2 linked regions of the Caenorhabditis elegans genome follow. The protein of the gene in region 1 interacts with the protein of each later gene in a pairwise test. Each region holds a gene or a part of one and is shown in the gene's direction. Other genes may lie near its edges.

What was found.
Region 2: the proteins of C47E12.2 (region 1) and gap-3 interact in a two-hybrid assay, tested with the Caenorhabditis elegans proteins (one large-scale study listed by BioGRID).

Annotation. Positions count from the first base shown.
Region 1 is NC_003282.8:10,001,153-10,005,167, reverse strand, and holds C47E12.2 (ADP/ATP translocase), read left to right. Parts: upstream 1-1,665; 5' UTR 1,666-1,708; intron 1,709-1,821; 5' UTR 1,822-1,830; coding exon 1,831-1,980; intron 1,981-2,039; coding exon 2,040-2,249; intron 2,250-2,299; coding exon 2,300-2,521; intron 2,522-2,568; coding exon 2,569-2,679; intron 2,680-2,728; coding exon 2,729-2,898; intron 2,899-2,945; coding exon 2,946-3,003; 3' UTR 3,004-3,194; downstream 3,195-4,015. Other genes in the region: sars-1 (putative serine--tRNA ligase, cytoplasmic), read right to left, coding at 1-1, 60-1,109, 1,151-1,320, 1,378-1,414; C47E12.3 (alpha-1,2-Mannosidase), read left to right, coding at 3,354-3,356, 3,405-3,524, 3,567-3,703, 3,747-3,826.
Region 2 is NC_003279.8:2,007,422-2,012,471, reverse strand, and holds the start of gap-3 (SH2 domain-containing protein), read left to right. Parts: upstream 1-1,946; 5' UTR 1,947-1,992; coding exon 1,993-2,052; intron 2,053-2,214; coding exon 2,215-2,307; intron 2,308-2,373; coding exon 2,374-2,468; intron 2,469-2,512; coding exon 2,513-2,642; intron 2,643-3,701; coding exon 3,702-3,884; intron 3,885-4,905; coding exon 4,906-5,050.

The DNA of each region.
Region 1 (4,015 bases):
CCTATAAACAAAAATGTATTTATTAAGTAATCGTTTAGTATAATAAGTTTTATATATACCTCTCCACTCAGTTTCTTGGTCTGTCCATATCGAACCTTGAGTCGCCGGGATTGATAATCCAAGCAGTTAGAGCACGAAACAAGCTCACGATAAGCTCCAGATCCTGGGAACCAGGCTTCCAAATCGAACTTTTTCGCGGCAGCATTGTTGAGTTCTCCAGAGACAATATTGACGACTTGGTATGGAATTTGAAGCTCCTGGTAATAGCTCTCTGCATTTCCAATCATCTCATCGAAGAGTGTCCATGATTCATTATCGTTGGGACTGCACAGAACGAATTGCTCGATCTTTTCAAATTGATGAACACGGAAAATACCGCGTGTATCTCTACCGTGACTTCCGACTTCTTGTCGGAAGCAAGTGGAGACACCAGCATATTTGATTGGAAGCTCAGTCTCTTTGATCCACTCATTTCGATGATAGGCGGCAATTGGCTGTTCAGAAGTTGCAATCAAATACTTCTCGTCGACAGATGTATCACCTGCGATTTCCGATCCCTTCGAGCTGACCTTGTAGAGTTCATCATCGAATTGACTTAGTTGAGCAACTTCTTGCATGACCTCTTTCCTCATGAAAAATGGAGTATATAGTGGAACGTATCCCTTGACATTGAGACGTTGCAGAGCTAACTGAATAATAGCTTGCTCCAAGAAGACAAGTGGGCCCTTCAAGAAATATCCACGACCTCCAGCAACAACTGTTCCGCGCTCTCCATCAAAGCCATCAACCATCACAACCAAATCAACGTGTGAATACTTCTTCTTGGTGCTTAAATCTCCGAAAGTTCTCTCAATTTTGTTGTTAGCTTCATCTTTTGATACGACGACACTAGAGTGAATCAAGTTTCCGATTTGAATGAGCTTCTCATGGCGTGCATTTTCGTTGGCGATGACGGCAGCTGCAGTTTGAACAGACTTCTCATCGACAAGGACTCTGAGCTTTTTCAGTTGAACAACGGTTAACTGAGACAGCTCATCAATTTTCAATTCAGCAAGACGTGCGACAATGTCATCAGCAACGGAATCGTCTGTTCCTTGTGGTTCCTTCTTCTAAAAAAATCTTTGGTTGACACAAGTTAGAGTTAACTGACCTTCATTTTCTCCCCAATAGCTTTAGAAATAGCATTCTTCTGGCGATTAAGTTGATCAGCCACAAATCTCTCCTTTCTCCATTTCTCATCCAATTCAATCACTTCGTCGACCAACTTCGGATCCTTGAAACGGTCCTGCTGCGACTTACGAATGATTTCTGGGTTTCCACCTTAACTTCGATACTGTTTTTCAACTGTTGGCAATGTTTTTAATGATTGACACTTACCCTTTTCAGTACGGAACATGTCAATGTCGAGAACCATCTTGAAAGCTCAACAAGAGTGAATTACCCTGAAAAGCACGAATATATTCGAAAGTATGTAAGCAAACAAAATTTTCTAGAGGATAAAATAAAACGAAAAGCGTCACATAGACGAGAGATTTGGTAAAATTTCGTAAGATTTCAGGCCCGGTTCAGGTCAGTTTAATGTCTGCGATTGCTCGTCACATGTGATGTTTCGTGTGGCAAAGGGTACGGTGATGCATTTGATTTGACGCCAATTACTTATTATTGAAATTTGGATTTACTTTTTTATTTACGTTTTAGTCATTAGAAAGTGAGTTTTTTAGGTTTATTGTTAACTTAGAGAGTACATAATTAAAATTAATACAAATCGGTCGAATATAATACAATTTATGAAGAATTTACTGTTATTTGCGTCATTTCCAGGAAAGCTCGATGAGCACGAGTGCATCCCTTTCTCCAGCAGCTTTACAAAAGCGATCAGATGCTCAGAAGTTTGCTATTGACTTGTTAATTGGCGGGGTTTCAGCGTCAGTTTCAAAAACTGTAGTCGCTCCTATCGAACGTGTAAAAATTTTGCTCCAGGTAAAATTCTCATAGTCAGTGTTAATTCAAAATGATTTTGTAACAAACTACGTTTACAGGTTCAATATTCGCACAAAGATATTCCTGCTGATAAGAGATATAATGGAATTATCGATGCATTTGTTAGAGTTCCCAAAGAACAAGGATTTGTATCATTTTGGAGAGGAAACATGACAAATGTTATACGTTACTTTCCAACTCAAGCTTTTAATTTTGCATTCAATGATTTGTACAAATCGATTCTTCTAAAAAATATGAAACGGGAAAATGTAAGTTTTTTGGGTGAAATTACATTTGTACTCTAATAATATTATTTCAGAACGTGCTCTCATACAGTGTCAGGACACTCGTCTCTGGAGGACTTGCTGGTTGCTCTTCACTTTGCATTGTGTATCCATTAGATTTCATTCGTACAAGGTTATCTGCTGATATCAATCATCACACGAAGCGAGAATATAAAGGTCTTGTGGATTGCACAATGAAAACCGTGAAAAATGAAGGATTTAGTGCACTCTACAGAGGATTCGCTATTTCTCTTCAAGTGAGAATGTATCTTTCTTATCTTCGTCCTATTAAAAATTTTTACAGACATACTTCATTTATAGATCTGTATATTTCGGATTATACGACGCTATCAGAAATACTATAAACACGGATAAGAAGAAATTACCATTTTATGCTTCGTTTGCCATTGCACAAGTATGTTTTCTTTTTTCAAAAACTTTATTTGCATTAAAAACTGTTTTAGGGTGTAACCGTACTATCGTCATATTTAACCTACCCTTGGGACACTGTGCGGCGGCGAATGATGGTAAAAGGACAGCTGAGCACATCAAAGGCTTTTTCAGCTGCACGAAAAATTGTCCATGAGGAAGGTGTTCGCGGATTGTACAAAGGAGCGTTAGCTAACATTTTTAGGTTTGTATGAGGATTACATATAATGTTCTTTAAATTTATGGTTTCAGAAGCGCTGGTGGAGCACTTGTCATGGCACTTTACGAAGAGATTCACAAGCATATGTGATCGAGCAAAATTGGACCGAAACACATTTATTCACCATATAATAATTCTCAACCTTAGATTCTCATCTAGCGATTTATTTTTGTATATTATTCTGAATGCTTAGGAAATTGTTTTTTTTCTTGTTAACCGGTTACCTTCTGCCATGAGGATCGTTTTTTTGTTATCCTATTGATAAAAATTCAAAATTTCGGAGGAGAGCTGACGTGTCACTATTCTATCAAACGCTTGTCGCATGCATTATTTCACTCGTTTCATCGATTTTTATTATTTTCTATCAATACTGAAACTGGGAACTGGACAAAACTACTTATAATTTAGATTGAACAAATCGAACGCAGTATGGTATTAGTATGGTGAGCTGAAATTATCTTTGGAAAAAAAAGTTAATTAATAAATTTCAGAAATTTGTCAAAAATGTGTTAATTTTCATCGCATTGTTCTCTACGACGTGCTCACTCAAAACAACGAAAAATCCATTTCTTTTAACGAAGGAGGAAATAAAATATGCGTCAATTTCAGATGTATGTGTGCATCTAATTTGTAACTAAAACTATAACTGACAGGTGGATTTGCAATATGGATTGGCAAAAACACGCGAAATGTTTCAATTTGGATGGGATAACTACATGGAACATGCATTTCCAGCAGATGAATTAGATCCAATTCATTGTAGAGGCCGTGGACACGATCATGATAATCCGTAAGTGAGCAGGAAAAGAGAGAGGTTTCAATAACAGATTCAGAGATAATATTAATGTTAACGATGTGCTTGGAGATTACTCGTTGGGATTAATTGACACTTTGGATTCGCTTGTGGTTTTTGGTAAGTTTGTTAATTTTTTTCAAAAGTTATTATTAATTGTCAAAATTAAAAAATGGAGTATCGTCAGTGGAAATTTAGTCTAAAAATACTCATGATAGCCCAACATGTCTGATTATAACAAACCCAAAATGTTTAGATTTTTTCGAAAATTTAATTCAAAGTTTTGGTAATTGTCAAATGTTCCAAAAC
Region 2 (5,050 bases), on another chromosome or scaffold:
TAACGCGTGGGAAAGTCGTGTACTCCACACGGACAAATACATTTAGTTTTACAACTAAAATCGAGCCGCGACGCGACACGCAACGCGCCGTAAATCTACCCCAGGTATGGTAGAGCCAAGATGGCCTAGTTCGGCAAAAACTCTTTTATTTCAATATATGAGGGAAGCCAGAAATCCGTGAATTTTTATTCAATTTTTTTTTTCAAAATTTTTTGTTTCAAAAAAAAAACGAAAAATTTAAAACAATTCAAATATCCTTTGAGGGCGGTAAACTTCAAAATTTAAAAAAATTTCTCAATTTTTGAATTTTAGGTTATATAACCGGTTATAAGAATTTAAAATTAAAATTCTTTTAGAAAAAAAAATATTGCAACAAAAAAAAAAAAAAAAACTTCCTCCGAGTAATAATAATTGGCAAAAAAAAAGAAAAAAAGAAGAAGCCCGGAGGAGCAGGAGCTGGTACTTGTCCCATTAATTTTCCTTTTTTTCTTCAAACAATAAAAAACAGCTGAATTTTACGGCAAAACTGCTCTAAAAATGTAAAATTTCATTGAAAAAGTAGGCGCAGCCAATACACCATGTGGTGTTTTGGCGCTGTCTCCACACGCAAGTAGTGCCAGGGGCTGTCCCAATACGGTTTGATCTACAAAAAATGCGGGAATTTTTCGCCCAAAAAAATGTGACGTCAGCACGTTCTTAACCATGCAAAATCAGTTGAAAACTATGCGTCTCTTCTCCCGCATTTTTTGTAGATCAACGTAGATCAAACCGAAATAAGAGACACTCTGACACCACGTGTACACGTTTAAACTTTTCCAGCTGTAAAAAATAAAATTTTCAAAAAAAAAACATAATTTTTAATCACATGTCTTGTTATCACTGTGTTATCTGTTATCACAACGACAATTTTTTTCACGAAAATTCTTTATTTTTAGGTATTACCCAAAATATTTGAATAAATTCCAAAACTTTCCGTGTTCTCCGTCCTCCATTTCCCACTTTCACAAATGGTCCATCATCCGAACTTCCGGTGCTCTCTCTCTCGCTGTACAAGAGACACAGAAAACCGAGAGAGAGACAGTGATTCGTGGTAGAGACGCAGACACATATACACACACACAGAAAAGTGATCTGGTGTCTGTGTGTGTGTGTGTATATTGTGAGAAAGAAGAAGAAGAAGACTGCGTGGGTGTAATAATATGCGTCCTTTTCTCCCCCCTTCTCTTTCGATTTCTTTTCTTCAACTTTTATCACTTTATTCACAACCTATTTCCTACCGTTTACCACCTTTTTTTTTGAGGAAACTTTGAATTTTTATTGAAATTGTTCAAGCTTGATTCCACGGAGTTGAAATCTACCAAATTCAAATTCCACTGCCTTCCCCGGGTTTTTTTTCCATTTCGATGGGTTTTTTAAAAAGGAATTAAAAAAAACGTTTTGTTTTCAAATTAAAAATTTAAAAAATAGACTGAAAATTAGCAAAACTGGGATTAATCCCACGGAGTTGAAATCTACGGAGTTCACTTTCCACTGCCTCCTCCGGATTTTGTATTTTTTAAACATTTTCTAGTACTTTTCGATGAAACTTTGCATTTTTTCACCTAAAATTAAAAAAAAAGTTTTCTAATTAGCTGAAAACGATAAAAATAAGAAAAAAAAAACATTTGCGGAGTTGATATCTATGGAATTCACATTCCAAAATCAGGCCAAGACAATTAAATATTGTTTTTTTTTAGCTTCCAGCGCAAATTTTCGAATTTCCAAACAAAATTTTGGTTTAAAACTCTAATTTTCTACCTGAAAATCAGGTTTTTTCATCGAAAATCATCGAAAATTAATTAAAATTCAAATTTCCCTCCATTTCCCCAGTACGTACACCGTCACGCAAAATTGCGTACCCGTCCGATTTTTCGCATTTTTTTGAATTTGTTTTCCTGTTTTTTGATGAAAATCAATAATTTTTTGGCATTTTTCAGGTGCAAATGAAAAGTTATGCACTCAAGCGAGAATACTACACCTAACAGCAGCACGGAAGGGCCATTGTTTCTAAAAGTGAGGGCGAAACAAGTGAAAATCGAGGAAAAAAAGGAAAAATTAGAAAAAATTAGAAAAATACCATTTATATTATTTATTTTCATCGAAAATCAATTATATTTACAGTTTAAAATATTCTAAAAAATCCTAAGTTAAAAAAAAGGAATTGTTTTTTCGCAGACTCACACGAACCCAACACCGCCTGATATATCGCCAAACGATGTGTGGTACCATGGGGAATTAAACGAACACGATGCCAATCATTTGCTTCAGGTTTCTTTTGCGAAAAATTACAAAAAAAATGGCAAAAAATGGCAAAAAACCGGCAAAACATTCCAGGGCACATCTCCCGGCGCGTTTTTGGTTCGGCAAACTGGCCAGACGAGATTTTATCTGTCGATATTGGATCAAGACGGCTATCCGAAACATTTACCGTTGGTTTTTAAACATAAAAATTTAAAATTCAAATTTTTTTCAGCATCCGCCAACTCACCCCACCTCACTACTTTTTCGAAGGAAAGCGTTTCGAGACCCTTCGAGATATTGTAGATGCCTATCAGCTGGCTGTGATTCCAGTTCGAAAAGGAGGAATTATGCCGATTAATGGGGTATTTTTTTGCCCCATTACGGTTTGATCTACAAAAAATGCGGGAATTTTTCGCCCAAAAACATGCCAAATCAGTTGAGAACTCTGCCGCATTTTTTGTAGATCAACTTTATTCAAGCCAAAATAAGACACTCTGACACCACGTGTGATACACCATATTTGACGCGCAAATTTTTGCATTATTGGATAATTTGTTGGATTTTAAAGTGATTTTTCAGAGAAAAAAAAGAAATTTATAATATTGCGCGTAAAATAGAGTGTCTTGAGTCTGTAATCGAGTAGATCAAATTTAACGCGCAAATTTAATTTAAAAAAACAATTAAATTACTCCATGTCTTACGAAAACACAAAATTCTGAGAATGTGTATCACACAACATATTTGACGCGCAAAATATCTCGTAGCGAAAACTACAGTAACCCTTTAATTGACTACTGTAGCGCTTGTGTCGATTTACGGAAGTCAATTATTAATCAATAAAATTAAATTTTAAAAGAAATCTCAAAAATGGCAAAAAAATACAATTCTCATTGGTTTTTTCGTTATTTTTTGCCATTTTTGTGTTTTCTTTTAAAATTTAATTTTATAGATTAATAAATGATTTCCGTAAATCGACGCAAGAGCGCTACAGTAATCATTTAAAGGGTTACTGTAGTTTTCGCTACGAGATATTTTGCGCGTCAAATATGTTGTGTAATACGCATTCTCAGAATTTAGTCTTCCCGTAATAATTTATAATTTGTGCGTCAAATATGACGAATTGGTCAGAATATCGATATACACGAATATAAAGTTTTGTAGAATTATCTGTAATAGTAGTAGTTTTTGCGCGTAAAATATGGTGTATTGAGTCCGTAATCGAGTAGATCAAATTTAACGCGCAAACATGTCCACGTGGTCTCATTTCGGTTTGATCTACTTAGATCTACAAAAAATGCGGCAGAGTTTTCAACTGATTTTGCAAAAAATTCCCGCATTTTTTGTAGATCAAAACGTAATGGGACAGTCGCTGGCACCCCGTGCATGCCGGAATTTTAATATACCATAAAATTTGTTTCCAGGAAATCCAAGAAACCAAGTACCTATGCGTTAGACGATTCGAACAACGCGAAATCGACGAAATGAACTCGGAAATCGGTGATATTCTGTCAGTTTGTGAGACCGACGAGACCGGATGGATGTTAGGACGAAATGAGACGAGCGGTTCCGTTGGAATTATTTTAAGATCACATTTGGAACCTTTGGTAGGGAAAAGTAGGAAAGACTGGAAATTTCTAACTGAAAATTTGAAAATTCTAGGAAAAAACTGATGAAAAATTACAATTTTTAAGCAAAAAAATGTTACGTTTTTTTTCACAATTTTCTACAAAAAATTTAAAAAATTAATTAAAAAAGGCGAAATTGTGCTAATATTACGGGAACACAAAATTCTGAGAATGCGTATTGCACAACATATTTGACGCGCAAAACATAAAAATATCTCGTAGCGAAAACTACAGTAACCCTTTAATTGACTACTGTAGCGCTTGTATCGATTTACGGAAGTCATTTATTAATCAATAAAATTAAATTTTAAAAGAAAACACAAAAATGGCAAAAAAAAATTACGAAATGTCATTTTTGAGTTTTCTTTTAAAATTTAATTTTATTGATTAATAAATGATTTCCGTAAATTGACACAAGCGCTACAGTAGTCAATTAAAGGGTTACTGTAGTTTTCGCTAAGAGATATTTTTATGTTTTGCGCGTCAAATATGTTGTGCAATACGCATTTTCAGAATTTTGTGTTCCCGTAATATCTAATGTAGGCTTTGGCGTACCAAATACACTTATTTTGGTACAAAATCGCGGCGAGACCCATTTATAAATTGCCTACCTAATGCCTGCCTGCTGAAAAAAAAAACAAAAAAATTTTTTTTTTTTGGTCCAAGCTGGATTTCTCCAATTTATTAACACTATTTGAGAAAATCGATAAATCTCGATTTTCGGGGGCAGAAAAATCAATAAATTAACACTATTCAAGAAAATCAATAATTTGCCAAATTTTTGGAAAATTCGATAATTCACGTGGTGTCAGATTGTCCCATTACGGTTTGATCTACAAAAAATGCGGGAATTTTTTTTCCAAAAAAATGTGGCTTCTTCAGCACGCTCTTAACCATGCGAAATCAGTTGAGAGCTCTGCCGCTTTTTTTTGTAGATCAGCGTAGATCAAGAGACACTCTACAACACCGCGTGAAATTCTCAGATTCCGTGCTTTTACAGATCACAGAGGTGGCCGATTTGTCGGATCTACCGTACTTCTACGATACAGTATCCACGGACATGGTGCAATACAGCCCCATTGGCACATTTCTGCTGCGTCGATCGTCTAAAGGAACAGATACCTATGCACTGCTAGTCAAAACTC